Linked DNA regions of Callithrix jacchus. The protein of the gene in region 3 purifies or fractionates together with the protein of the main gene of each other region. This does not show direct contact. Links are inferred from orthologs where the notes say so. Each region holds a gene or a part of one and is shown on either strand. Other genes may lie near its edges.

Region 1 (4,971 bases), on a different chromosome or scaffold from region 3:
AAAAAAAAATAAAAATAAAAAATAAAGTAGATTCTGTGACATTAATAATCTGGGGCAATCTGGTAAAAGTCAAAATCGCTAATGTTTTGATACAATGTTCAAAATTTCTTTCAAAATAATCTAGTTTGAGAGTGGGATGCAACATGAAACAAGACCGACCTTGGCTATGAGTTAATAATTGTTAGAGCTGAGTGACTAATACATGGGGTTCTACATACTATTCAATTTTTGCATATTTTCCAGAATAAAAAAACTTTTAAAAAATGGTATTCGAAATACCATTTCCCTATTGCAATATGCCATTGTGATACAGCAATAGAAGACATGCTTTATACGGCTTGTGTACTAGTTGTTTGGTTACGTGGTGGTGTTTTGTTTTGAGACGGAGTTTGCGACAGCCCAGGCTGGAGAGCAATGGCGCTATCTCTGCTCACTGCAACCTCCACCTCCCAGGTTCAAGCGATTCTCCTGCCTCAGCCTGCCGAGTAGCTGGGATTACAGGCACCCGCCACCACACCCGGCTACTTTTTGTATTTTTAGTAGAGATGAAGTTTCACCATGTTGGCTAGGATGGTCTCGATCTCCTGACCTCGTGATCCACCCGCCTCCACCTCCCAAAGTGCTGGGATTACAGGCGTGAGCCACTGTGCCCTGCCTGCTTACTTTTTTTTTTTTTTTTGAGACGGAGTTTCACTCTTGTTACCCAGGCTGGAGTGCAACGGCGCGATCTCGGCTCACCGCAACCTCCGCTTCCTGGGTTCAGGCAATTCTCCTGCCTCAGCCTCCTGAGTAGCTGGGATTACAGGCACACGCCACCGTGCCCAGCTAATTTTTTTTTTTGTATTTTTAGTAGAGACGGGGTTTCACCATGTTGACCAGGATGGTCTCAATCTCTTGACCTCGTGATCCACCCGCCTCGGCCTCCCAAAGTGCTGGGATTACAGGAAAGCAACCGCGCCTGACCCACATGTTTTAAAAGAGCAATTCAGGCCAGGAGCGATGGCAGGCACCTGTAATCCCAGCTACTCAGGAGGCTGAGGCAGGAGAATCGTTTGAACTTGGGAGGCAGAAGTTGCAGTGAGCCGACTGCACTCCAGCCTGGGAGACAAGAGTGAGACTCCATCTCCAAAAAAAAAAAAGGCTGTAAGAAAATTCTAGGAAAATTTGTCAAAAACAAGGAGGGCACTTTGCCACATGTGTGTTATTAAAAGATGGTTATAAATCAAAATATTTTCAGTTCACTAAGGAAATTCAATGCCTACAACGATACAGGAGGATCACTCAGGTAAACACACACTCCTTACTCGTATAAAATTTAACATTCATAAGTTGCATTTCCTTTGAGTACACCTATAAAACTAAGTACAAAAGTTTTTAAAACCCAGTATCCTTTAATAAAGTTGCTGTTCTAAAAATCCCACCTGTCACCAGGATAACCGAAACTGCTCCCTCTACACTCCAACTATATTTTTAGTTTTTACCTCAACAAGTAGCAACGTAATTTACATTTGGTAAGCACGGATTCCTGAAAGGCCAAAATCAACCAGGAACCTGATTTAACTGTTTCCACCACGTTCTGAACAATGAAAGCTACAAGCAGAAGAGAAGTGTGACCCCTTAAAAAGGTCCACACGGCCAAAGAACAGTGGCAGGACAGACCGAAGTACGTATCTTCGCGGAACCCAAGAAAACTTCCCACACAAGCAATACTGCAACAAGGAGGCGGGGCCAGGGCTTAAAAGGAAAGTCAGCCATCAGGGAGGGGGGGAATAAAAGCAAAGCTTCGGTGAAAAAACTTAAGAGATGTAGAGCAAGAAAAGACAGACAAATTTTTCCATTTTCGTACACCCCCCCTTCAAAGCCTGACACACTGCAAGTGCTCCAGATAGGTCTGCTTAACACAAGGGAAGCTTCTGCCAGCAACTTTCCCAGAAATGGAATGACAAGAAGCTGGATGATGGCCGGGCGGGGGGAAATGGACAGGTTGCTCATCCTGCGGGAGCTGGTGAATATCCTGCAGTTGGCTAAGCGGAGGAGATGGAAAGAAATAGCATCTATCGTTTACAGACTGCCAACTACAGTGTTCCAATTAAGCGTATGCCTCTTTCAGATGTTAACAACTCAAAACAATGCCCTGGCTCTGGACACGGGCACGCGCAACACTGAGCCTCTAAGAAACCCAAACGGATAGGTAGGTCAACTTCTATCCACTCTACCCATTAAATTATCCTTCATATCACGCTAATAAATTATGCAGACGGTTTATTGGGACACGCTGTGGGTCTGGCACTCTGATAAGCGCTTTACACGCCCCATTTCACTGAACCCTAACAGCCATAAGAGGCAGGGACTGTATCAGCAGCCCCTTTTCCAACCAGGACACAAAGAGTTTAAGTGTCTTGCCTAATGGGGCAGAGCCGGGATTAGCACCCGTTTTGGACACCTGGGCGGTGCTCTTAACCACTAAGCTGCAGACCTGGGCCGGCGAGACTGAGAGGCTCCAGTTCTCGGGGACCTAAAACGGGGACCCCCCACCCCCAGCTTCAGCCCCGGGAATAACTTCGGCATCCCCGCGCGCGCCATGCGGGACGAGGAAAGGCGGCCACGGCACCTGTTTGTGACCCCGGCGAGGGCTGAAGCGGATGGGGGCGCCCGGGGGCCAGGCCTCAGGGCGCCCCGAGGCGGGGGGCGCAGGAGGACCCGCCTCCTCCGGGAAGGCCCCGCGGGCTGGAGAGAGGCCCGGGGGAAGGCGGCGGGGCGCGCAGGCCCGCCAAGGCCTAGGCCCCACCCGCCGCCCACTCCCCACCGCCGCGGCGCCAGCGCGGGCCCCGCCAGGCCCGGCCGGGCCGGGCCGCCTCACCTGGCTGCTGCCCCGAGCTCGTCCCCCGGCCGGCGGTCCTGGGCGGCGGCGGCGAGGAGGGGAAGGGAAGGAAAAAAGGAGAGGAGGACGGGACGAAGGGAGGGAAGAGGCGGAGTGGCCACGGAGAAGGCGGGCGCCGCCGGGCTGGGGGGGGGGTCAAAGGAAGGGGGAGCCGAGTAAGACACGGCAGCCGCCAGCGCAAACGCTGAAGAGCCGCTCCGGCGCCCGCAGCCCGGCAGGAAGTGACGGGGGAGGGGCCGGCGCCCGCCCCCGGCCCCCGCCCGCCGCCACCCCCACCCGCGGCCAGGACCACAAGTTCCGGCGGGCGCTGCGGCACAACCTGCGCTCGCAAGGCACGCCGGTAGCCCAGCGGGAGTGAAGCCATGTCCGGTTTGAGCCGCTGCGGCCAGCCCTGGGGCCCCGGGGCCTGCCGGGAATTGTAGTTCCGGTGGGAGTTTCGCGCTGCCTGCTGGACTAGTAGCGGGGCTGGGAGAACCAGCCTGCCTTCTTTTCCTCCACTTCCTTCTTCCTTCCTTCTCTCGGTTCTTCCTCTTCTCCTGCCTCTGGCCCTCGTTTCTCTCCTTCCCGCAATGTTTCTTCCTTCATCTGTAAATGTTCATTAAATGCTTGCTGTATGCAAGGCATTCCGCCAAGAGCTAGGGATGTAGTGGTGAACAGACAAAAATCCCTGCCCTCGTGGAGCTTACATTCTTGTGTGAGTAAAACACACAATAAATAAATTTAGAAAATTTGGCCGGGCGCGGTGACTCACGCTTGTAATCCCAGCACTTTGGGAGGCCGAGGCGGGTGGATCACGAGGTCTGGAAATTGAGACCATCATGGCCAACATGGTGAAACCCCGTCTCTACTAAAAATACAAAAATTAGCCGGACGTGGTGGCGGGCGCCAGATATGTCAGCTACTGGAGAGGCTGAGGCAGGAGAATCGCTCGAAGCAGGGAGTCGGAGGTTTCGGTGAGCCAAGATCGCGCCGCTGCACTCTGGCCTGGGTGACAGAGCGAGACTCTGTCTCAAAGAAAAAATAAAATTTATAGTGAGATAAAAGAAGTGCCAGATTGCTATTTCTTTTATCCACATCTAGATAAACTACGTGGTTTGTAGCAGCCATGTTATATGGGAGGTTGGAGGGAGAACAGGGTGGCCAGTAGAGAATATTGAACTTCTGGAATCACACTCAGCGAAAATTATGCTCGCGTTGTGAGAGGTCCAGGAAACGGAGAATGAGTGAAGAACTGCAAGTGCACAGGGCTCCTCTCTCCTGCTCACTCGAACTGCTTCCCTGCTATTTAAAAATAATTATCTCTCTCTCAGATATCTCTCAGTTTAAATATTGCTCAATCTCTCTTGCCAAAGGAATATAAATTCAGAATATGAGCGGCTGTGTCTGAAGAAGCCCCTCCAAACGAGGCTTTGGAGCCTTATCCAAGGCTGGGAGGACACCTTTCTCTAGACAAGACCTCCTTACATTGCTTCTTCTGAAGTGCAATGAGACTGAGTTTCAGAACACCGAAAATAGTCAAAGGACTTTCACCGTTCCTTTAGTGCCCATCCAAGACAGTACTTAGGAACATTCAGATATTGTCCAGCCCTCTGCTGAAAGTGATCTTTTTTTTTCTTTCTTTCTTTCTTATTTATTTATTTTTTATAAAGGGTTTCACCACGTTGGCCAGGATGGTCTCAATCCTTTGACCTCTTTTTTTTTTTTTTTTGAGATGGAGTTTCGTTCTTGTTACCCAGGCTGGAGTGCAATGGCGCGATCTCGGCTCACTGCAACCTCTGCCTCCTGGGTTCAGGCAATTCTCCTGCCTCAGCCTCCTGAGTAGCTGGGACTACAGGCACGCACCACCATGCCCAGCTAATTTTTTGTATTTTTAGTAAAGATGGGGTTTCACCATGTTGACCAGGATGGTCTCGATATCTTGACCTCATGATCCACCCGCCTCGGCCTCCCAAAGTGCTGGGATTACAGGCGTGAGCCACCACTCCCAGCCTTTTTTTTTTCTTTCTAACTTCCAAGCAGTGTGGATCTCATAGCTCCTTGGCTAAAGGAGCAGATGCAGCGAGCTCTCCCTAAACCCAAAGCTGGGGTCA
Region 2 (4,820 bases), on a different chromosome or scaffold from region 3:
ATGATCTGCACACATAAATGATCAGATACCCAGCACTGAACGTGTCTAAAAAAAAAGGAGATAACAGGAGTAAAGAGAAGGGTAGGCACAAAGGAAAAAAAACAAAAACCATTTGGAAGACTATCTCTTCTAGAACCTAAACAGTAATCCTCGATTTCTGGATTATCTGTATATTTAAAAGCTTGATGACTATCTCAGATTTTTTTATATTCATATTCTTTGTTGAAAAGCAAACCAAGTCACCCTTCCTAGCACTTCATTCCAGACAAGCCAAGTAAGCTAAAATGTAAAATTCACACGATTTTCCAAGCTGAAGTATTTAGGAGTTAAGGACCACAATGTATGTAACTTAAATGGTCCAGGGGAAAAATATTTTGTGTCTGATAGAGAGCAAATAATAAATGCAGAAAACATTAACAGGTGAATCTGAATAAAGGTTACCAAAATGTTTGTATTATTCTTGTAATTTTTCTGTAAAGTTGAAATTATTTCCAAATAAATTAAAATTTTTAAATTACACAGCATTCTATTTGAAATTAACAATACATACTTGGATCATACAGCAACATTCTTACAAATACAAAACACTGGTTTTTATGGAAAAAAATATGCAGTAATTTGTGAGCAAGTATGTACCATATCCTACCAACTAATCATCACTTAGGAATAAATTTCAGACTACCCTACCATATAATAAAATGTGGCAATGGTGACTTGACTTGAAACCATAGCAGGAAAAACACACAAACACACCAGATAGTTTGGCATAACTGCTTCACAAATTTAATACAGGCCTGCTGCAAAATGCAGCAATCTACAATTAAAGTGATATGTGATATCTCTGGTTCGCAGTAAAATACAAATTGAACAATGAAAATCTTGCCATATTACAAAACAGAAATGGAGAGTAAGTCTTGGTTTTGGTAGTTTTATTAAATAACATTTTTCCACCGCAGCTCAGTTCACAACTGTATACTTGAACCACCTAGAGAAAGCAAGGACGGGGAAAAAATATCCTGGCTTAATACTGAAATATTTTCTCCTCCAACGTTACTATCATCCTGCCTGCCCATCACAATTTTGATTTCAAGTATTCACTATGCTGGTCTAAAACAGAGGATGCATCAGAAACCAAGTAATGCTCAGCAAAAGTTCACTAAAATTATAAAATCAAACATAAAATAATAAACGTTTTTCAGTTAACAGTAAAGTATCTTTAAAGGATCATCTCCATCCTTTCTTCAGGATCCACCCACTTTAAAATCCTTTGGTAAGTTCCCAGGTCTATCCGAATTGAATGGTCCCTCTCTATCTACTTAAACAGTTCTTAACCCTTTGGAGTGGGGATGGGGGTAGGGGGACATCACAGACAATATGGACCCTTACCAAAGAAAATTATTCACAAATGCAAAATTCTACACATACATCCAAGGACTTTCAGAACCCCACGGCCATTATGCCCATCCCCTCCAGAATCCCAGCGTGGCGTGCTCCTCAATCGCCTCTGCGGAGCACCCCCCGCCTCCGGGCCACAGCCCCCGGGTTGCCCCCGGAGAGATCGGAGTTCCTGCTCTCACACAGTGGATTCCGTAACAGAGCTTTGTCTCCTCGCCCAACTCCCTTCACCCTGGCAAGGTCACTACCGCCAACTACCCCTTTAAGCCGAGCCATCATGGTATGAGTTCGTAGGAGCCACAGCAGAACTTGCCCGTCATAGGATATATTTTGTCCCCTCGGCCCCACCTACCTTCCCCATTTCGGCAAGTTACGTCTTTACCACTCACCCATTCTACAGAAATAGCCGCCGCCACCCCCCGGAGCGCCCCGGCCCCGTCGCTCCGCCTCCAGCACCCTCAGGCCCATTCCCCGCAGACCCTCCCCGGGTCGCCCTCCTCAGTCCTCCCCCAGGTGCTCCCCCTCCCTCACGGCCACACTGCGGCTGCACTCGCCGTCCCCTCTTCCGGCCGTAACCACCCTGGCCTCCGAGACCCCCAGCCTCCAGCGCCCACAGCCGCGCTCCTGCCTCCCCCACCTCTGCACCCCGACTTGGCCCGGCCTCCTCGCCTTCTTCCCGGCTCCTCCCTCAGGACACCTGTGTCGTCCCACCCCCTCCACCACACACGCCCCCCCACACCCCAATTGCTTCGCCTCCCGGCCCTCCCTCCCTCCCCCGCCGGTCTCCCCTCCCGCCGCCGCCCGGAGAGAGCCGGAGGAGGGAGGGAAGGCGCGGGGGAGGGGAGGCCGCGAAGGGGGCCGCTGTTCTCCGGGTTCACCGCGCCGCGGACCTGCAAGGCTCCCCAGCGCCCTCTGCCTCCTCCGCCGTAGGGGCGGAAGTCGGGGTCTCCCGGGCGCCCCAGATGAGGGGTATTTACCTTCTTGCCGGGGACACTTTGCCGACGGCTCCAACATTGGCAAACACTACAGTGAACTGACCCCGCTCGGCCGCCGCCGGCTTCCACCCCTCGGGCTCCCCGCCCCCCGCCTCCGCCCGCCTCCCCGGCGCTCGCGCCGCGCGCCCCCGCCTGCGCAGCCGCTCCCGCGCCCCAGCACGCCTGGCCGGCGCGCGCGCCCAGCGCCAGCTCTACCTCCACTCCGCCTCCCGCCAGCCCGCGACTCAGCGCGGCCATTGTTCGCGACGCCGCTCCCGCCCCCTGTCGGCTGCCGGGCCCCCGCAGCTGCAGGCTCTGCGGGGCCAGCGGCGGGGAGCTGGACCCCAGGGCGAGGGCCGTTCCCGGGGGCCTTGGGCACGCGGGCGGGCGAGTGCGCGAGGAGCGCGCCCCGTCCGCAGTCTCCTCGTCCCCGGCGCGGCTCCCCACCCCCTCGTCTGCCAAGGGTGGGCCTGGGGCAGCCCCTTCCACACCTGCACTCCGCAACTTCCTTCCCCGCCCGACTGACCGTCTGCTCTTTCTGATCTGCACCCTGTGCTCGGATTCCCCGCTCGTACCTTTCCCAGGCTCTCTGGCTGCCCCTCTCTGCCGTGCAGGGGACGCGCGACCATCCCGCGTCTGCTCCGGCCGCCGCTGTGCGACGCACGATTTAGCGGATCCTGCACCTTTCCAGACGGGGGAGGGGGCGGGGAGGAGTTTGTTTCACCGTCTCGCCCAGCAAACACCAGGGATCCGTAATCACCTGCTCGCCAAGACCGGCGGCGTAGCCAGACCTCCTCCTCCACCGAAAGAATGAGTCACATGAAAAAGAAATCCTTGGAGCCAAAAATGAGGACCATTGAAAACAATGCCCTAGATCCTAGATTTATGCAGCAAGAGTGCCAGAAAACACAAATTACCTCTTGATTCGTCCTGATTTTGATTTGGATTACTTTTGTCTGAATAACTTCAACCCAGTTAAGCTCGATGAAACTGAACACTTCGTTTATTAAACGGCACCAAAAATAATCTGACAATAAAAGAAATTTCGAAACCGAATTATTAGTGTGTTTTCGCAAACTTATCCATTTGCAACGTTATTTCTAGGGTTTCTTCCCAGTGTCGTTTATCTGACTGAGAAATGTCTCCCAGGCCGGTAATTTCAGTCATCATCTAAAACCAATCTCCTGTCTGCAACTGGAAAGGTAGGGTGTGTTCTGGTTAAGGGCCCGGGCGCCAGAGTCAAATACTAAGGCTGGTTATCCGCTTGCTAACTGGAGAGGAGACCGCAGAAATGTTACTTACCCTGTGCATCAGGAGGAGACTACATGTGATATTTTCTATTTAAATGTGACAATGCATATGAAGCCCTTTAAGTAGGGCCTGGCATGTAGTACCTCTCCCAGCACAATGTTAGCTACAGCTATATTTTTCCTCCCAGAACTCTTTGCGCGTTTTCACCTCTGCCAGTTCCCTCAGATTTAACATGTTGCATCCTCCCTAAATCTGTAGCGCTCCTTCTAGGGGCTCAACACCTAGTCAGCATTCTAATATAGTCAGTAGAATGCCTCACCTAACCAGAGGAAACTATGTTCTGAGGAACGTGTCATTAAGCGATTGTCATTTTGTGCACATCATAGTGTGTTCTTACACAAACCTAGGTAGTCTAGCCCACTATTCACCTTTGCTATATGATATATAGCTATTGCTCCTAGGCTACAAACCTGTACGGTGCATTACTGTACTAATACTGTAGGCAATTGCAACACAATGGTATTTGTACCTAAACATATCTAAACATAGAAAACATACAGTAAAAGAACTATATCTTTGTTTGTTTGTTTTTGAGAGGAAGTCTTGCTCTGTCGCCCAGACTGGAGCACAATCTGAGCTCACTGCAACCTCTGATTCTCCTGTCTCTGGTAGCTGGGATTACAGGAGCATGCCACCACACCCAGCTAATTTATGTATTTTTAGTACGGACAGGGTTTCACCATGTTGGCCAGGCTAGTCTCAAACTCCTGACCTAAAGTGATCCTCCCGCCTCAACCTCCCAAGGTGCTGAGATTACAGGCATGAGTCACCTGCAGTATTGTTGTATATGCAGTCCACGCATCCATTATTGACTGGAAGAAGTTGACCAAAAATTGTTGAATGTTTTGAATGAGTATCCTCCCTTCCCACCAGCCATACCAAAGGTCAAGCCACCTATCTCTGTGCCTTTCCATTGGCTATTATCTCTCGCTGCAGGCTACCCTCTACCCTCCTCTCACCTGGTGAACAAATTATCTCTCCCAGCATTCAAAAATCACCTTCTTGGCTGGGTGAAATGGCTCACGCCTGTAATCCCAGCACTTTGGGAGGCCAAGGCGGGCAGATCACGAGGTCAGTAGTTCGAGACCAGCCTGGCTAACATGGTGAAACCTCATCTCTACCAAAAATACAAAAATTAGC
Region 3 (4,763 bases):
CTGTAATTCCAGCACTTTAGGAGGCCAAGGCAGGCCTTGAAGCCAGGAGTTTGAGCCTGGCCACCATGGTGAAACCCCATCACTACTAAAAGTACAAAAATGAGCTGGGTGTGGTGGCACATGCCTGTAATCCCAGATACTCAGAAGGCTGAGGCATGAGATTTGTTTGAACCTGGGAGGCAGAGGTTGCAGTGAGCTGAGATTATGCTGCTGCACTCCAGCCTGGGTGACAGAGCAAGACCCTGTCTCAAACAAACAAACAAAAAATATATATATATACACAAAACGCATATATATGTATATGTATATATATAATTATATTCCTAGCTACTAATAAAACAGAGGAGCACATTTTACCCTTGCAATACTTTGTTATTATCAGCCAACATAACAACTTTCAGTCAAATCCCAAAGCTGAATGGACAATTTCAGATGGAATTGAGTTAGACAGGAACTGGCTTCCCTTTCTCCTCTTACTATGGGGACAACCCACACCTGCTCCATGGCCTAAAATATTTTAAACATGTTGATAACAATTATGCTGATAATGCCAGAATAACACTGATGGAACCCATGACTTCACCAGGATTGTGGTCTACATTTACAGGCCTAGGAATAAAACTAGACCAGCTTAGAGTGTGGGAGATATCCTTCTGTTCTTGTCTATCGAAGGATAAAAATCCAGGCTTTCAGCCAGGTGCGGTGGTGCATGCCTATGGTCCCAGCTACTCAGGGTGAGGTTGGGAATCCCTTGAACCCAGGAGTTTGAGATCAGCCTGGGCAATATAGTGAGAGACCCTCATCTTAAGGAAAAAAAAATCAGGCTTTCAATATGAATAAAAACTTATTTTTAGGTCTTTAATGACTTTATACATACGCAACAAGGAACATCAAGGGAACCAAAACATTGAAAAGAATTTTAAAATTTGTTTGAGAACATTCATATGAAATTTGAAACTGTAAAACAATGTAAAATATACTACCACGTTGTCATTTACTTTTGTGTATACTGTGCTGTTTATTTTCAAAGCCCTAACTAGAAACACTGTTGGTGGGAGTGTAAATTAGTTCAACCATTACGGAAGGCAGTGTGGCGATTCCTCAAGGATCTAAAAATAGAAATTCCATTTGACCCGGCAATCCATTACTGGGTATATATCCAAAGGATTATAAATCATTCCATTATAAAGACACATGCACACGTATGTTCGTTGTGGCGCTGTTTACTATAGCAAAGACCTGAACCAACCCAAATGCCCATCAATGATAGACTAGACAAAGAAAATGTGGCACATATACACCATGGAATACTATGCAGCCATAAAAAATGGCGAGTTTGTGTCCTTTATAGAGACACAGACGAACCTGGAAACCATCATTCTCAGCAAACTTACACAAGAACAGAAAACCAAACACCGCATGTTTTCACTCATAGGTAGGTGATAAACAATGAGAACACTTGAGCACAGGGAAGAGAACAACACTCACTGGGCTAGGTGAGGTGGAGTAGGGGCAGTGAGGGGGCAGGGAAGATGGGGAGGGATAACACTGGGTGAAATGCCTGATGTAGGCAAGGCAGCGGGGGAGGTGGGGGATGGAGACAGCAAACCACCATGGCATGTATATACCTATGCAACAATCCTGCAGGATGCAGGATGTGCACATGTACCTCAGAACCCAAAGTACAATTAAAAACAACAACAACAACAAAAAACCTCATGTTGAAATTTGATCCCAATGTTGGAGGTGGGACCTGATGGGAGGTGTTTTGGTCGTGAGGGATCTCACGAATAGATTAATGCCATGCCTAGGGGTGGGAAGCAAGGAGTTCTCAATCTGTTAGTTTCCTCAAGAGCGGGTTGTTAAAAAAAAGCCTGGCACCTTCTCCCTCTATCTCTTCTTCCTCTCTTGCCATGTGACCTCTGCACATCCGACTCCCTTTCACCTTTCACCATGAGTGGAAGCAGCCTGAGCAGAAGCAGATGCTTGTGCCATGCTTATACAGCCTGCAGAACTGTAAGTTACAGAAATCTCTTTCCCTTATAAATTATCCAGCGTCAACTATCCATTTAAAGCAATACAAAACAAATGAAAACAATTGCTCTAGGCTGGGCGCGGTGGCTCAAGCCTGTAATCCCAGCAGTTTGGGAGGCCGAGGCGGGTGGATCATGAGGTCAAGAGATCAAGACCATCCTGGTCAACATGATGAAACCCCATCTCTACTAAAAATACAAAAAATTAGCTGGGCATGGCAGGGCATGCCTGTAGTCCCAGCTACTCAGGAGGCTGAGGCAGGAGAATTGCCTGAACCCAGGAGGCGGCGGAGGTTGCGGTGAGCCGAAATCATGCCATTGCACTCCAGCCTGGGTAACAAGAGCGAAACTCCATCTAAAAAAAAAAGAAAAGAAAACAATTGCTCTAAAGTTAAAATTAACCCTCAAGGTCTTCTCAGATACAATCCAAATTATCTTTCAGCATTCTCTACAGCAATTCAGGACAACAAACTAGCATACCCCATGGTCCTCAAATACACCTTCTCCAGAACTCACCCCAGTCCCCTTGTCCAGACTTCCTGGGTGGTATCCTCCCTACTCGTAATCTAACACCCTCACATATACTTGGGAGGCCCACTGGACTGTCCTCAGTAGAAAGTGATCTCACCCCTGCCCGATGGACTATTTGGACTATTTTCTCTTCGTAGCTACTGCCTTACAGGACAGTTGTCTTTAAAGCAGTTATTATAATAGATACAAATAACATGTAAGAATGTTTCTGAAGCGAAAAGAAGAAAACCTTTCTGCAAATGTAGTAAAAAATTAGAGGGAAAAGTTAAAAGGTAAATATCTATTAGATAATTCAAGGAAAATTGCAAATCAGAAGCAGAGACATTTTCAGAAGGGCTCTAATATGTGTTTCGTTCATTTTTCTCTGGGTGTTTTTTCCACATAGCCAAGGTGCTTAGTATTTCAGATGTGTTAGGTCGGTCCTCAGGTTTCTTTGAGAGTAATTTCCGTAGAAGAGTTTTCTGTAATGACAGTGAGAATCAATAGTAAAAAATAAAACACTGAAATAAATAAAATTCTGATGATTTTCAAGTGCTTACTTCTCGTTTGTCAAACGTATCTGAGATGACGCCATCCCGTAGGTCTGTGAAAAACTGAAAAAAAAAAAAAAAAAAAAAAAAAGATAGGTATATATTAGGAAATTATTTACTTGGGAGGAAAAACAAACAGAATTAAAGGCTGGAGATACCTGTGAAATGTAGGCTATTTCCAGATTTTGGGGAAAGTCTCTTTAGCCAAGAAGCAAGCAGGATTCCCTCTCTCCCACCCTACCCTATGCTCTAATACAAACACCCTACCCCCACTCTAATAACCATCCTTGCAGCATGACTGAAGTGTTAAGTGCATTATCTTCACAATCTCCCTTCATGCACTGTGGAACCCTATGTGATAGGTAGGTTCTAACTGTTTTACAGAGGATAAGGTTACTGACTCCAGGAGAGTTCCCTTTCCTGAATTTAAGAGTAGGATATCTAGCTGGGCACCGTGGCTCACACTTGTAATCCCAGCACTTTGGGAAGCCGAGGTGGGCAGATCACCTGAGGTTGGGAGTTCGAGACCAGCCTGACCAACATGATAAAACCCCATCTCTACTAAAAACAAAAAAATTAGCCAGGCATGGTGGCACATGCTTATAATCCCAGTTACCTGGGAGGCTGAGGGAGGAGAATCACTTGAACATGGGAGGCGGAAGTTATAGTGAGCCAAGATTGTGCCATTGCACTCCAGCCTGGGCAAAAAAAAAGAAAAAGTAGGATATCCAGTTGCCTGCTGTCTTTAGTGGGCTCCCCACTGCCTAAGCAAGAAAGTCTACATTTTTACCTCAAATTAGCCTAACCTATCTTTCTATTCTCAACAACCACTGCTTCCTTGTAACTTACATACTCCAATACAACTTACACTTACACTGCCTGCTGTCTCCAAATATGCTCTGTACATTCCCGCCTCCAGGCTGGAATCACCTTTTCTGTTTTGGACTATTAGAGATCCTTCAGAGCTCAGCTTAGTGTCTCCATGAAACCTAAGTCCCTACAGCTAGCTGGAAAGATGTCCCTCCCAGCTGCTTCCACAGACTTCATACCTTCTCCTAAAATGCTTATGGAATTTTCTTATATTATCTTCTCTTTTAGAAAATAAGCATCCTAGGCCGGGCGCGGTGGCTCAAGCCTGTAATCCCAGCACTTTGGGAGGCCGAGGCGGGTGGATCACGAGGTCGGCAGATCGAGACCAACCTGGTCAACATGGTGAAACCCCGTCTCTACTTAAAATTACAAAAAAAATTAGCTGGGCACAGTGGCGTGTGCCTGTAATCCCAGCTACTCAGGAGGCTGAGGTGCATCTTGAGAAGAAGGCTTCTTTTTTAGAAAGAATGTCACTCTGTCACCCAGGCCACTGCAACTTCCACCTCCCGGCTTCAAGCCATTCTCATGCCTTAGCCTCCCGAGTAGCTGAGACTACAGGTGCACGCCACCACATCCAGCTAATTTTTGTATTTTTAGTAAAGATGAGGTTTCACCATGTTGGCCAGGCTGGTCTCAAATGCCTGACTTCAAGTGATCCACCTGTCTTGGTCTCCCAAGGTGTCGGGATTACAGGCGTGAGTCACCGTGCCTGGCCAAAGCTTGCTCATTTCTGCAACCCTTATAGCACTTAGTACAGTGTCTTACACAAAGCAGTTAATCAATAACATTTTATAGACTG
Region 4 (4,945 bases), on a different chromosome or scaffold from region 3:
AAAGAGTTCTTAGACATGACACTAAAAGCACAATACACAGTAGAAAAAAATTGAAAAATTTAATTTCATCAAAACTTAAAACTTTTGTGCTTCAAAAGGCACTGTTTAGAAAATGAAAAGACAAATCACAGTCAGGGGGAAATATTTGGAAATCATATCTATTATAAAAGATTTATACCTAGAATACGAAGACAACTCCTACAACTCAGTAGAAGACAAACAGCCCAATTACAAAATAGGCAAATGATGTGACTAGATTATTTCACCAAAGATCTACAAATGGGTAGTAAGCCCATGAAAAGTGCTCACTATCATCAGTCTGTGGGAAACCACAATGAGGTATCACCACATACCCACTAGAATGACTATAATGAAAAAACACAAGTGCTGTCAAGGTTATAGAAAAATTGAAACCCTCACACACTGATGGCAGAAATATAAAAGGTGAAACCATTTTGGAAAACAGTTTGGTAGTTCTTCAAAATATTAGAGTTACTGCGACAAGATCATTTTGATAAAAATATAAAAAATAAAAATTAAAAAGATATTTTAGAGTTATGATATGACCCAGCAATTCCATTCTTTTTTTTTTTTTTAAGAGATGGAGTTTCACCATGTTGGCCAGGCTGGTCTCAAACTCCTGACCTCAGGTGATCTGCCCACCTCTGCCTTGCAAAGTGCTGGGATTACAGGCGTGAGCCACCGTGCTCTGCCAGCAATTCCATTCTTAGGGATATACTCAAGAAAAGAAACGTATGTTCACACAAAAACTTATGCATGAATGTTCATAGCAGCATTATTCACAAAAACTCCAAACAGGAAACAATCCAAATGTCTAGAACTAATGAATGGATTAATAGAATGTGTTATAGTCATACAGTGGAATTCTATTTATCAACAAAAAGTAATGAAGTACTAATACACACCATAACTTGGCTGAACTTCAAAAACATGCTGAGAAGCCAAACTCCAAAGACTACCCTAGACAGAAAACAGATCACCGGTTGCCTAGGGCAGGAGGTGGGAGTGGGGATTTAATATAAATGAGCTCAAAGGAACTAACCGGGTTGATGGAAATGTTCTAAAACTGGATTGTGGTAATGGCTATACAACTCTGTACATTTGCTAACAATCATTGGAGATATAATGGGTGAGTTGTGTGGTATATAAATTATAACTCAATGAAAGGGCTAGAAGAAAAAAAAGGGTAAGTAGAACTTAGTGTTGCAGGTATCTACCTAGATTTCATGTATGTGGAAGAAGTGAGGAGAACAGGGAAATGAACTGGATCATAACAGTGCCACTGTACTCATACACACATAAGCAGACAGTTCACTTTTCAAAGCACAGTCTCTGTGTTTTCTGCTTCAAGATCCAGGGCAAACATCACTTTCTTTTTGTTCACCCCCAACTCTTAAAACATTCATCACTGCATCCCTTACATTACACTGGAACTGTTTTGGTGTTTGCTTCCTGGACTAGATTGCAAACCTCCCCAGGGCAAGGGCAGTATCTTCCTCCGATAAGCTGTAGCTCTGAAGCCCAACCAGTTCTGGGTCCAGAGCAGGCATCAGTGAATGTTTATCAAATTAATGAAAGGAAAATTGGGGTTGGGGGAGGAAATTACCAAACAAGTTTGAAAGTAGAGCTGGGCGCAGTGGCTCACGCCTGTAATCCCAGCACTTTGGCAGGTCGAGGCAGGCGGATAACTTAAGATCAGGAGTTTGAGAACAGCCTGGACGACATAGTGAAACTCCATCTCTACTAAAAACACAAAAATTAGCCGGGCATGATAGTGGCTGCTTGTAATCCCAATTAATTGGGGAGGCTGAGGCAGTAGAATTGTTTGAACCCAGGAGCGGAGGTTGCAGTGAGATTGTGCCACTGCACTTCAGCCTGGGTGACAGAATGAGACCCACTCACAAAAAAAAAAAAAAGAGAGAGGGCCTTATTTTTTGTATATATAAAAGGAGAGAGGGCCCCAGAAATGGGGTGATGGGGTGTGTGTGTATAAAACATATATATACACACACCATTTCTGGGGCCCTGTCTCTTTCAGATATATATGTGTGTGTATATATATAAAATACATTAACTTAGGAGACAGGCTAGACTTGTTTTTAAATTGGTGAAGTATATACCAAGGTATAGGTCTGTGTACCACCCCTAATTTAAACATATCTTCCTTAGATATGGCCAAAAATTCAATTTTATCCAGGGCAGTTAGTTCACAAACAGCATATTAAACTTTCCAAGACAGTCTGCTCAGCAAGCAAACAAATCACTGGAGAAATCTGATTTCCCTGCATATACCTGACAGGGTTAGCATAGAAGCTCAGATAAAGTTCTTGTACATTTGGGTTAGCATTAAGCAGCCGGCTCTACAAAGGACGGTGAAAGGGGTCACAAAAGCAGGTCAGGACAGCTCTTTTCCATCCTTCTCTTTCTATCTCCCATCTTACCCAGTCTTAGGTCAAGTGCAGACCAAGTTGGGACGCTTCGGCCCAGAAGTGACCCCTGCCGTGGCGTTGCTTACGCTGTTCTCAGCAACTCTGGGTCAAGTGTAGGACATAAAGAAGCTGGAGCCAAAGCACACCCAGACCAGTTTCTCGGGCTCCTGGTCCCCACCTTAGAATAAGGGACCCAGCAAGTAGAGGCCAGAGAGCTAGAAACAGGAGTAAGTCAGGGTTCAGTCACCAAGAACAGGAGGAACTCAGGGGGTAAGGAGAAGGCCTTCCAGAGCCCTCGAAGTGTGGGGCTTGAGAGGAGGGAGGCAAGAGACCCTCGGGGGGAAATCTGGAGATTGGGACGATGAGGAGTCAAAGAGTGGTGAGGGACACTTGGCTCGGCTTACGGGGAGTGCCACAGCAAAGGCTGTGGGTCTCCGAAAGGTCAAGTATAGGGATGACAGTCCTCGAGTTTGGGAAAAACTGCGCTGTGATGAATGATGACTGAGGAGGGGAAAAATCCAGGGCCTGAGCGTGAGCGGTCCTTCATCCTCAACGCGCTGGGGGCCCGATTCTTGGGGTGCCAGCGCCCGGATGGGGAGCACAAGTCTGGGAGTCCCGGGGCGCAGCACGGAAGGAGGCGGGCCAGGGGGTGTGACCGCACACCCGGAGGCCGGCTCACGGTGCCACCCGCGCTTCCGCCGCTCCCGGCGAGCCGCGTGGGCGCGTGAGGGGCTTCCTGCCTCCGACTCACCTTCCTCCCTCCCCACTGGCTGGGCAACGGACACTGCTTCCCACAGGCGGCGCGCCCTCTCGCGGTCGAAGCGCACCCCATCCGGCTCCTGGCGCTCCAGCTCCTTGGAGCTGTTATAAGGCCCGGCCCCTCCGCCGTCTGCGGCCTCCACGGTGCCCGGTGCGGGATACTCCATCTTCCTCGCGAGCCCTAACCGTTGGCCAAAAGCCGCTCAGGCGCCTAGGTATCGCGAGATGGGGGCGGGGTGGAGGGGGTGGAAACTTGGCTCGGCTAACAAATCTCGCGAGGTTTGGGCGCTGCACCAGCGCCGCCGTGCGGGACCTGGCGCTTATTTTTCTTTGCTACCTCTGGGACTCCGGAGCGTGTGCTGTAGATTCGGAAACCCGTCGCTGATTCCACAGCAGTGACTTCCCTCCCGGAGGGACTCGTGCGGTTTTGACTCAGGGCTCTCACTTTGCTCACGGTCAGTCTTTAACACTTCATTTCGTTCTCAAGGTCCCTTTAAGTGGGAGTGTTTTCGCCGTTTCATTTACAGGGAAACACCCAGAGCCTAGAAATGGTTAACTCAAGAGTTCGCTGCTAGTAAGTGGTAGTACAGCTGAGGTTCCGTATTACTGCTAATAATGGGTACTATTTGTTGACTTCTAAATGCCAGCCCAGCTCTGATTTTCCCCGCGACTCCGGACCTGTTACATACATCCAGTTGCCTATTTCACAGTTCCACTAGAATGGCTAATAGGCTTTCCAATGTAACTGTCAGACCCCATATTTTATCTTCCAACCCCCGAGCTGCACCTTCTCGTGTCTTTGGGAGCCACTATCTCTTGCCTAGGTTACGGTCGTAACATTCTCACTGGTATTCCCCGCACAGCAGCCCCAGGGATCCTCTCATGACAAATCAGATCACGACGCTTTGGTTCTCAAATCCTCCAGCAGCTTCCCATCTCACACTTAGTAAAAGCCAAAGTTCTTACATTGACCAACAAGGTCCTGTACATTCTGAATTCCCTTAATCTCCTTGACCTCATTTCCTCGTGTGTTACTCAGTCTCCAACTCCTTAATTCCTGTCCCAGTTACACAGGCCTCCTTGTGTGCATTTCTTCTATATATCTTTATGGCTTGGTCTCCCATTTTCTTCTCTGGCTACTCTATCTAAATTATCTTCTCTGGCTATCCCATCTAAAATTTTACTCCTCCACACACACTCATGTCCTTCTTTCCTGCTTTATTTTGTATATATTTTATTTTGTTTATTGTCTCCCTACTAGAAGACAAGCCCCAGGAAAGCAGGGATTTTTGTCTATTTTCTTTTATTTTCGATGGAGTCTCCCTCTGTCGCTCAGGCTGGAGTGCAGTGGTGTGATCTCGGCTCACTGCAACCTCTGCCTCCCAGATTCAAGCGATTCTCCTGCCTCAGCCTCCTGAGTAGGTGGGATGACGGGCACATGCCACCACGCCCAGCTAATTTTTGTATTTTTGGTAAAGATGGCATTTCACTATGTTAGCCAGGCTGGTCTCAAACACCTCATGATCTGCCTGCCTCAGCCTCCCAAAGGGCTGGGATTACAGGCATGAGCCACCGCACCCGGCCTTTTGTCTATTTTCATCGCACCTGAATCTCCAGCACCTTGAAATAGAACCTGGACCCTCCTAGGTACATATACAATATTTGTTTAATGAATGAAGCTTTTAATATTACTAGCTTATTTCAACTTCATTTGTTCAAATACTTATGGAGGATTT
Region 5 (4,253 bases), on a different chromosome or scaffold from region 3:
TAAGCCCATGGCTCAATCACCTTCGCAGCCCATTAAGGGCTGTTCCATAGGCAGCAAAGGGAGGGGCCTCCACAGGTTCACCATTCGGCCTAATTCATTTTCTTTTCCACTGTCTTACTCTGCAGGGGCATTCCCTCAGTGGATACTACCCCTATCCATTTCAAGGCTATGAGCACAGAAAGGTCAGACACCAGCAGCCTGGGCCGGGATCTTCCCCCAGTAGTTTCCGACATAAGCAAATAGAGTTTCTCAAGGGCCAGCTCCCAGAAGCACCAGTGATTGGAAAGCAGACACCGTCACTGTCACCTTCCCTCCCAGGACTCTGGCCAAGGTTTCCAGCACTACCTGTCTACAGTACCGGATTCAGGAAAGAGGAGATCTGGGGTGTCCCCAGGAGCGTGCATTTTGGAAGGCAGGGGCTCCAAAGAGCATTCCAGCATCCTTCACCACGTGGTAGGATTCTGCCACAGAGAGGTGTCGATTGCCTTTCCTCAGATTTCCAGGAACTGAATATCAACCAGGATCAGGAACAAAGGATCTTAAAGCTCTTGAAAGAGCTTGGAGAAGGGAAGGCCACCACAGTACATGATCTGTCTGGGAAACTTAGGGCCCCAAAGAAGGAAATCAATCGAGTTTTATACTCCCTGGCAAAGAAGGGCAAGCTACAGAAGGAGGCAGGAATACCCCCTTTGTGGAAAATCTCGGCCTCAGCTCAGGCTCGGAACCAGCACAGCAGAGCAGTGAGACCAGACGGTCATAGCAAGGGAGCCCCAAACTCAGACCCGAGTTTGGAACCTGAAGACAGAAACTCCACGTCTGTCTCAGAAGATTTTACTGAGCCTTTTATCACAGTCTCAGCTCAGGCTCGGAACCAGCTCAGCAGAGCGGTGAGACCAGACGGTCATAGCCAGGGAGCCCCAAACTCAGACCCGAGTTTAGAACCTGAAGACAGAAACTCCACGTCTGTCTCAGAAGATTTTACTGAGCCTTTTATCACAGTCTCAGCTCAGGCTCGGAACCAGCACAGCAGAGCAGTGAGACCAGACGGTCATAGCCAGGGAGCCCCAAACTCAGAACCGAGTTTGGAACCTGAAGACGGAAACTCCACATCTGCCTTAGAAGATCCTCTTGAGCTTTTTGACATGGCTGAGATCAAGGAGAAAATCTGTGACTATCTCTTCAATGTGTCTGACTCCTCTGCCCTGAATTTGGCTAAAAATATTGGCCTCTCCAAGGCCCGAGATATAAATGCTGTGCTGATTGACTTGGAAAGGCAGGGGGATGTCAGTAGACAAGGGACAACCCCTCCCATGTGGCATTTGACAGACAAGAAGCGAGAGAGGATGCAAATTAAGAGAAACGTGAACAGTGTTCTTGAAACAGCTCCGTCTGCAATCCCTGAGATTCAAAGGCACGCAGAGTTCCCCACCTGTAATTTACCCACGTCAAATGCCTCAAATAACATGGTAACCACAGAAAAAGTGGAGAATGGGCAGGAACCTGTCGTAAAGTTAGAAAACAGGCAAGAGACCAGACCAGAGCCAGTAAGACTGAAACCACCTGTTCATAACAATGGCCCCTCAAGAGCAGGGTATGTTGACTTTGAAAATGGCCAGTGGGCCACAGATGACATCCCAGATGACTTGAATAGTATCCGCGCAGCACCAGGTGAGTTTCGAGCCATCATGGAGATGCCGTCCTTCTACAGTCACGGCCTGCCACGGTGTTCACCCTACAAGAAACTGACAGAGTGCCAGCTGAAGAACCCCATCAGTGGGCTGTTAGAATATGCTCAGTTCGCTAGTCAAACCTGTGAGTTCAACCTGATAGAGCAGAGTGGACCACCCCATGAACCTCGGTAAGAGACCACCCAGGAACTACCCACGGTTGGGTTCAGATGCTCTTGCTCCTGACACAGTGTTGGCTGATGTGTGAGTGGGGCTGTTTGGTGGCTTCTGTCTTTTCCTCCTTCCCTTCTGCCTTGTAGCTAAATCCTTGATTGGCCCTTTCTCCAGCTGTTGAGCAGGGAATATAGACTTTGGACCAGCCAGAATCTTGGTTGAACAAGGGGGAGGTTGACTCTGTTGGCTGTAATGAAGCTTCTTTAGAAATGACTGGTCTTGGAAGCTAGGTGTGGTGGCTCACACCTGTAATCCCAGCACTTTGGGAGGCCAAGGCGGGCAGATCATGAGGTCTGGAGTTCGAGACCAGTCTGGCCGAACACGGTGAAATCCTCATCTCTACTAAAATACAAAAATGAGCCAGGCATGGTGGTGCGTGCCTATAATCCCAGCTACTTGGGAGACTGAGGCAGGAGACTCGCTTTAATACAGGAGGTGGAGGTTGTAGTGAGCTGAGTCACGCCACTGCACTCCAGCCTGGGCAACAGAGCGAGACTCCATCTCAAAAAAAAGAAATGATTGGTCTTCATCCATCAATGCCATACTTGCCTCCTAAGGCCAGAGGTAATGAAGACTTAACTCCCTTCTGCGGGCCTTCCTCTCCTCCCCAAGCTGTTTCTGAGAGAGGTGCAGGAGCAGGTGGGTTGGGGCAGGCTGCACACACAGAGTGGGGGTGGGTTGTGCTGCTAAGCAGCACAGGTCCGCAATCCCCCCTCTGCACAGCTCCTTGGGGGAGGGATGGAGGAGCGTGTGCACGGCTGCCTGGCTGCCTATTGAAGGTGATGGTTCTAATTTTATATACCTCCTCTGCACAGATGGGTGGGCTAGCACTTGCTGCTGCTCCTGAGCTGTGAAGTCAGCGATTACCTCACTCAGATAGCTGGCCAGGCCCTGCACTGTAGGGTCCTAATGGGCCAGTAGACAGATAAAACAGGAGCTGCTGAAGGGCATAGCAGAAAGCAAAACCACTGAAGCTGGGTGGCTGCAGCTGCAGCCAAGGAGAGAGCCAGTGGGTTGGGGAGAATTCCACTGACCCTTATGCTTACCTTGCCTGGTTCTAGGGGTGTAGATTCCTGGCTAGGGCCCTTATTCTTTGTCTTGACTGTTTTCATGTCACCACATTGGCATTTCAGGAGAGCTGTTAAGAAAAGGGGGTATGTCTGTCCAAAAGCTGGCAAGGCCAGAGCTGGATCGTTTGTTTGGAGTAGAGACTGGATGGCTGTCATTCTCTTTTGCCTCTGTCCCTCCCCGGAGTTGGAGGAAAGCAGTGGATTTTGTGGTTAATCATTCTTTAGACTCAGCACTATAAGAAACATTGGCGCCATGTTCAGTATTTCAGAAGACCTAGGAAATAAGAAATTTGACCTACTTCCCAAATGAAATCGTAGATTGAGCAAAGAGCTGACCACATTTGAAAGCTTGAACAAAGCAGGGCCTAGGCTAAGTCCAGAGGCCTAGAACAAATGCTTTTTATTGTCTTCGTAACAAAGGGAAATTCCTTTCATCTCAGGCTTGAGACAAATGGAGCAATAGAGTGACTTGTAACAAACCATAGTGATAAATGTCTAGTGACGAAAGCAGGCCACTGATGAGTGGCAGATGCCTGATCCCTGCAGGTACTGGGGAGCGTGAGACTGGGTTATAAGAAACTTTCACTGTCTTTTAAGACCCTCCCTTAAGGAGGCCAGTCTACCACAGTCGCTCTAGAATGAAGGTCTTTTGGTTGTCAACAAGGCTGTAATGGCAATTTTTGGCTTATTGTGTGTGTGCGTATGTGGGGGGGGGGGGGAGAGAGAAAATTCATTGTTAAGAGATAGTGGGTTTCCCTTGAGATAGTTTCATATCACCTGTGCTCGTGTTTGCTTCTATGGGGAAAGAGTCACTGGCAGCTTTGTTTACAAAAAGAAAGGACAGGTTGAACCTTCAAAGGAGTAGGAGTTCCTTGGCCTACCCTTCATCCCCTCCACAGGTCAAAAGCCCCTTAGCGTAGCAGAAAATTCCAGGTTGAAGGTCTCTTTGGAGAAGGCAGAAGGAATGACCTGTTCACACATCTAACTGCTTTCCATCAAGATTTAAATTCCAGGTTGTTATCAATGGCCGAGAGTTTCCCCCAGCTGAAGCTGGAAGCAAGAAAGTGGCCAAGCAGGATGCAGCTATGAAAGCCATGACAATTCTGCTAGAGGAAGCCAAAGCCAAGGACAGTGGAAAATCAGAAGAATCATCCCACTATTCTACAGAGAAAGAGTCAGAGAAGGTCGGTGTCCTCCTGCCGTCTGGGAGGGTATCAGTTCGCTGTCAGTGTCTGTGAATATAAGGATTGTAACTGACTCCCCCGAAGCAACCCCAGCCTAA
Region 6 (4,253 bases), on a different chromosome or scaffold from region 3:
GATGGACATGGGCCATGCCGACTGGGGTAAAGATAGTATGAATCTTTTCAGCGTCCCTTTTCCCCTCCAGGGCTGGGGTCTGCTGGGTCCCCGGAATGAGCTGTTTGACGCAGCCAAATACCGAGTGCTAGCTGATCGCTTCGGCTCCCCTGCTGACAGCTGGTGGCGTCCGGAACCCACCATGCCCCCTACTTCCTGGCGGCAGCTGAATCCGGAGAGCATTCGGCCAGGGGGACCTGGGGGCCTATCCCGCTCTTTGGTTCGGGATGAAGAGGAGGATGAGGAGGAAGAGCTAGAAGAAGGGACCATAGATGTTACCGACTTCTTGTCCATGACCCAGCAGGATTCCCACACCCCACTCAGGGACTCAAGGTACAGAAGGGGGCTGGGGATGCAGTAGAGGCTGGCTGTACCTTGACACAGGGTTGTGCGAATGTTCCTTGCTAGCCTTCTCTGAGATGGGAGTGCCCCGCCTCACATTTCATCCTGTGTGTCCCGTCACTCAGCATATGTCTGCGTAGAAGCCAGCTATGGTCTTCTACTGTGTGGCTGGGCTTTTGCAGAACAGCAGCATGGAGCCTTTGCCCTCTGCTGTCTTATCTGTGTGGGGGCATGGAGGGAGCACTCCCCATGCGGTGTGACTCTGGGAGCAGCAGAGATGTCCAGTTTCCCATCCAGTTCATGCCTCCTGGCTCCCTGCTGCAGTGCAGCGTCCTCACTCCTGCATCTCAGAGCCTTGAGGAAATGGGTCCACGAAGAGAGAGAACTTTCAGCTAAACTTTTGTCCCTTCCAGGGGGAGTTCCTTTGAGATGACAGATGATGACAGTGCCATTAGGGCTCTGACCCAGTTTCCACTTCCCAAGAACCTTCTGGCCAAGGTGATTCAGATTGCAACGTCATCCTCCACAGCTAAGGTGAGTTAGCTCTCCCAGAAGTGTGTGTGGGGTGCTGACTTGGTCACGTCCAGTGTTCCCCAGAGGCAGGCTTACGGAAGGCTGAGGGGCCTGTTCTCTAGCCCACACCTAGGCCAGCTGGGGGAGCTCCGGCTCGGAAGGAAAAGTAGCAGATGTGACAGAGCCAAATCCCAGCAGTACAGGGAGAGGGCCAGGGGCTGCAGGAGCAGACGGCCTACACCTGCACCTGTTCTGGGTGGTGTGTTGTCAGTTGGAGGGGTTAGAGGTCTGGGTCTATGGTGAGGTATGAATTCCTCTCTTGCTACCAGGCAAAGAGGCTTTGGGTAAGCAGAGCTTCTGTCCAGGTGCAGGGCCTTTTTGCTCCTGCAGTATGTGCCTGGTTTTTAGCTCATGCTGACAGCTTCAACCCATAGCTGCCAAGGAGGGCAAGTCGTGGCATTGCCTGAGCACTGTCTTCTGCAGTGGAGGTTGAGCTATAGCAGGAGGAGCGAGCCCGGGACTAGGCTGCCTGAACCCATGGGCCTGCTTCTGGCTGTGCAGCAGCACTTTCAGCGTGGCTCATGCCTGGCACCTGCTGAGGCGTTACTTCCTTCCATGTCTGGGCTCCTTAGCATTCTGAGAAGGCCCCAAGTCTCTTCTCATTTCCTCCCTTTCTGTAACCACCTCTCTTGCCTTCCATGTAGAACCTCATGCAGTTCCATACTGTGGGAACCAAGACCAAGTTGTCTACGCTCACCCTGCTTTGGCCCTGCCCCATGACCTTTGTTGCCAAAGGGCGCCGCAAAGCAGAGGCTGAGAATAAGGCGGCAGCCTTGGCCTGCAAGAAACTGAAGGTGAGTCCAGTAAGGTCCTGGGTGTGATGCATGAAGATATCTTGAAGCTCCCCTCTACCTGTGGCAAATGGGTCTCATTTTCTAGGAAATGAAACCACCACAGCAGGCCTTTTGCGTGGCACAAAGACAGCTGGTGTGCGGGCCTCATTTTTAGGCCCTGTGGCTGTTTTCACGGCTTCCCCAGAGCCCCTGTGGAGATGCTTTGCCTGTGGCCCAGCCTTTTTCACACCGTTGGCCTGAACGTGGTGAAGCCAGGAGGAAACTTGCTCATCGTTCTGAATAGTATAAAGCTGGGAGGAGCTGAGCCTGTTTTGGGAGGCAGACCTGATGTCCAATATGATCCTGATAACCTGGGCTTTGTGGCCAAAATGAATAATGTGAGCACAGAACAAGGATTGACTGGTAGAACTAGAGGCGGTTTGAGCTTTGGCCTGACACACATGCGCTGATGCGCAGGACTTGTGACTGCAGTGAAGATCAAGGAAGCAGTCAGCATTGGGTGGAGGCAGCGTGGCAGGCAGCTGGCAGTCCTCTCTTCTGAGACAGGGTCTCTGTGACCCAAGCTGGAGTGTAGTGGCACGATCACAGTTCCCTGCAGCCTTGGCCTCCTGGGCTTAAGTTATCTTTTCACCTCAGCCTCCTGAGTAGCTGGGACCATAAGCACGCGCCACCATACCCACCTAATTTTTTAACATTTTTTTGTAGAGACAAGGGTCTCACTGTGTTGCCAAGGCTGGTCTTAAAATCTTGGGCTCAATTGATCTTTCTGCCTTGGCTTCCTAAAGTGTTGGGATTGCAGGCATGAGCCATCACTCCCAGCCATGGCAGTTCTCTTGAAAAAGGGGCTGTGGAGTTAGCTGATGGCACAGTTAATGGGAGGGGGATTGTCTTTTTTTTTTTTTTTTTTTGAGACGGAGTTTCGCTCTTTTTTTTTTTTTTTTTTTTTTTTGAGACGGAGTTTCGCTCTTGTTACCCAGACTGGAGTGCAATGGTGCGATCTCGGCTCACTGCAACCTCCGCCTCCTGGGTTCAGGCAATTCTCCTGCCTCAGCCTCCCGAGTAGCTGGGACTACAGGTGTGCACCACCATGCCCAGCTAATTTTTGTATTTTTAGTAGAGACGGGGTTTCACCATTTTGACCAGGATGGTCTCTATCTCTTGACCTCGTGATCCACCCGCCTCAGCCTCCCAAAGTGCTGGGATTATAGGCGTGAACCACCGCGCCCGGCGGGATTGTATCTTACTGCCTGAGGAGTTACGAATCTCAGCCCATGTTGGTGGAGGTTTAGTTTGCGGTATAAGATGGAAATAGGCCTGCTTTACTCTGGATGGTCAGGTGCACCATTTCACTGGTGCATTTGGCTCTGGGAACCACATTTTAGTTACAGCTGATGGTGAGAGGTAACAAGAACCTGGAGAAAGGTGAGGAAGAGGGGACAGGCAAGTGGTGAGGTAAAGGGGGAGGAATGTACTCCCTATGACGGGAGCGCAGAACAAGGACTGACTGGTAGGACTGGAGGCAGTCTGAGCTTTGGCCTGACGCATACGCGCTGATGAGCAGACAGGCCTTAGCATGGTAGGGGCCTGTCTGGGAAGGAGCAAGCTTTGCAATGGCTGGAGGGCCATGTTTCAGTGAGGCTGGTGGATAAAACCCTTGAAGTCTGGGGAAAGGGCAAAAAGCCTGTCCTGCAGCACGGAGCTTGTATTGGCACCTTCTGTGTTATGGGGCCTGGTTCCCTGTCCTTGAGGTCCTTACAGCTGATGGTGCCAGCACGCCCAGAGGCAGGGGGTTGGCCCCTGTTGAGGGAAGACTTCTTTAAGGAGGGAGTGTTCAATCTGGGCAGACTCCAGACATTAGAGGTGACAGGAACACAAGACTGGTCTTACCCATGTGCCTGAGGTATTAGAATGCCACATTTTATCTTTGGTGAGGCAGCTTTAGATAAGACACAGTATTTTCCTTCCAGTGGCTCATTTTATCAAGTTGCATTATAATCGATGTTTACAGAGAATTCCATGTACATCTGTATATGATGGGGTCAGAGATGGGTCAGGTGCCATGTAGAGACTGGGAGGTGGGGTGGAGGGATGGCGGGAGGGAGACTTGGTGAGGCTTGGTGAATCAGCGTAGGAAGAGGGAGTCTGTGGTGTGTTCTGGCATCACTGAGGGCCTGGCCTGGCTGGGCTGAGAGTACATGTTGGGAATTCATGGAGGTGACAGTGACCTATTGTGATGTCAGGGGAGCTCCAGCCACACAGCAAGAGGTTTCTCCTCAGGGCCACCTCCAGACATAGGGCTGTTCTTTGACACGTCAGGTTTAGCTTTTCTTGAATTATTACTATCATTTTTTGAGACGGAGTCTTGCTCTGTTGCCCAGGCTGGAGTACATTCATGATCTTTGCGCACTGATACCTCTGCCTCTCAGGTTCAAGCGATTCTTGTGCCTCAGCCTCCCTAGTAGTTGGGATTACAGGCGCCTGCCAACATGCCCAGTTAATTTTTGT

Evidence for each region.
Region 1: the proteins of EIF2AK2 (region 3) and STAU1 purify together in Homo sapiens (affinity purification with mass spectrometry; 4 studies listed by BioGRID and IntAct, with this or other methods). This does not show direct contact. The link is inferred for Callithrix jacchus from reciprocal best matches to the Homo sapiens genes EIF2AK2 and STAU1.
Region 2: the proteins of EIF2AK2 (region 3) and STAU2 purify together in Homo sapiens (affinity purification with mass spectrometry; 3 studies listed by BioGRID and IntAct, with this or other methods). This does not show direct contact. The link is inferred for Callithrix jacchus from reciprocal best matches to the Homo sapiens genes EIF2AK2 and STAU2.
Region 4: the proteins of EIF2AK2 (region 3) and ZNF346 purify together in Homo sapiens (affinity purification with mass spectrometry; 3 studies listed by BioGRID and IntAct, with this or other methods). This does not show direct contact. The link is inferred for Callithrix jacchus from reciprocal best matches to the Homo sapiens genes EIF2AK2 and ZNF346.
Region 5: the proteins of EIF2AK2 (region 3) and ADAR purify together in Homo sapiens (affinity purification with mass spectrometry; 3 studies listed by BioGRID and IntAct, with this or other methods). This does not show direct contact. The link is inferred for Callithrix jacchus from reciprocal best matches to the Homo sapiens genes EIF2AK2 and ADAR.
Region 6: the proteins of EIF2AK2 (region 3) and DHX30 purify together in Homo sapiens (affinity purification with mass spectrometry; 3 studies listed by BioGRID and IntAct, with this or other methods). This does not show direct contact. The link is inferred for Callithrix jacchus from reciprocal best matches to the Homo sapiens genes EIF2AK2 and DHX30.

What each region holds. Positions count from the first base shown.
Region 1 is NC_133506.1:44,266,041-44,271,011, forward strand, and holds the start of STAU1 (double-stranded RNA-binding protein Staufen homolog 1), read right to left. Parts: upstream 3,105-4,971; 5' UTR 2,861-3,104; intron 1-2,860. UniProt on the Homo sapiens protein: Binds double-stranded RNA (regardless of the sequence) and tubulin.
Region 2 is NC_133517.1:29,341,318-29,346,137, forward strand, and holds the start of STAU2 (double-stranded RNA-binding protein Staufen homolog 2), read right to left. Parts: upstream 3,027-4,820; 5' UTR 2,999-3,026; coding exon 2,945-2,998; intron 2,487-2,944; exon of another isoform or gene 2,373-2,486; intron 1-2,372. UniProt on the Homo sapiens protein: RNA-binding protein required for the microtubule-dependent transport of neuronal RNA from the cell body to the dendrite.
Region 3 is NC_133515.1:77,877,244-77,882,006, reverse strand, and holds the end of EIF2AK2 (interferon-induced, double-stranded RNA-activated protein kinase), read right to left. Parts: intron 3,158-4,763; coding exon 3,104-3,157; intron 3,026-3,103; coding exon 2,903-3,025; 3' UTR 848-2,902; downstream 1-847.
Region 4 is NC_133503.1:69,132,384-69,137,328, forward strand, and holds the start of ZNF346 (zinc finger protein 346), read right to left. Parts: upstream 3,411-4,945; 5' UTR 3,377-3,410; coding exon 3,202-3,376; exon of another isoform or gene 3,142-3,201; intron 2,936-3,141; coding exon of another isoform or gene 2,867-2,935; intron 1-2,866.
Region 5 is NC_133519.1:15,010,891-15,015,143, reverse strand, and holds part of ADAR (double-stranded RNA-specific adenosine deaminase), read left to right. Parts: intron 1-125; coding exon 126-1,858; intron 1,859-3,971; coding exon 3,972-4,155; intron 4,156-4,253. UniProt on the Homo sapiens protein: Catalyzes the hydrolytic deamination of adenosine to inosine in double-stranded RNA (dsRNA) referred to as A-to-I RNA editing.
Region 6 is NC_133516.1:30,550,368-30,554,620, forward strand, and holds part of DHX30 (ATP-dependent RNA helicase DHX30), read left to right. Parts: intron 1-70; coding exon 71-372; intron 373-794; coding exon 795-915; intron 916-1,598; coding exon 1,599-1,748; intron 1,749-4,253.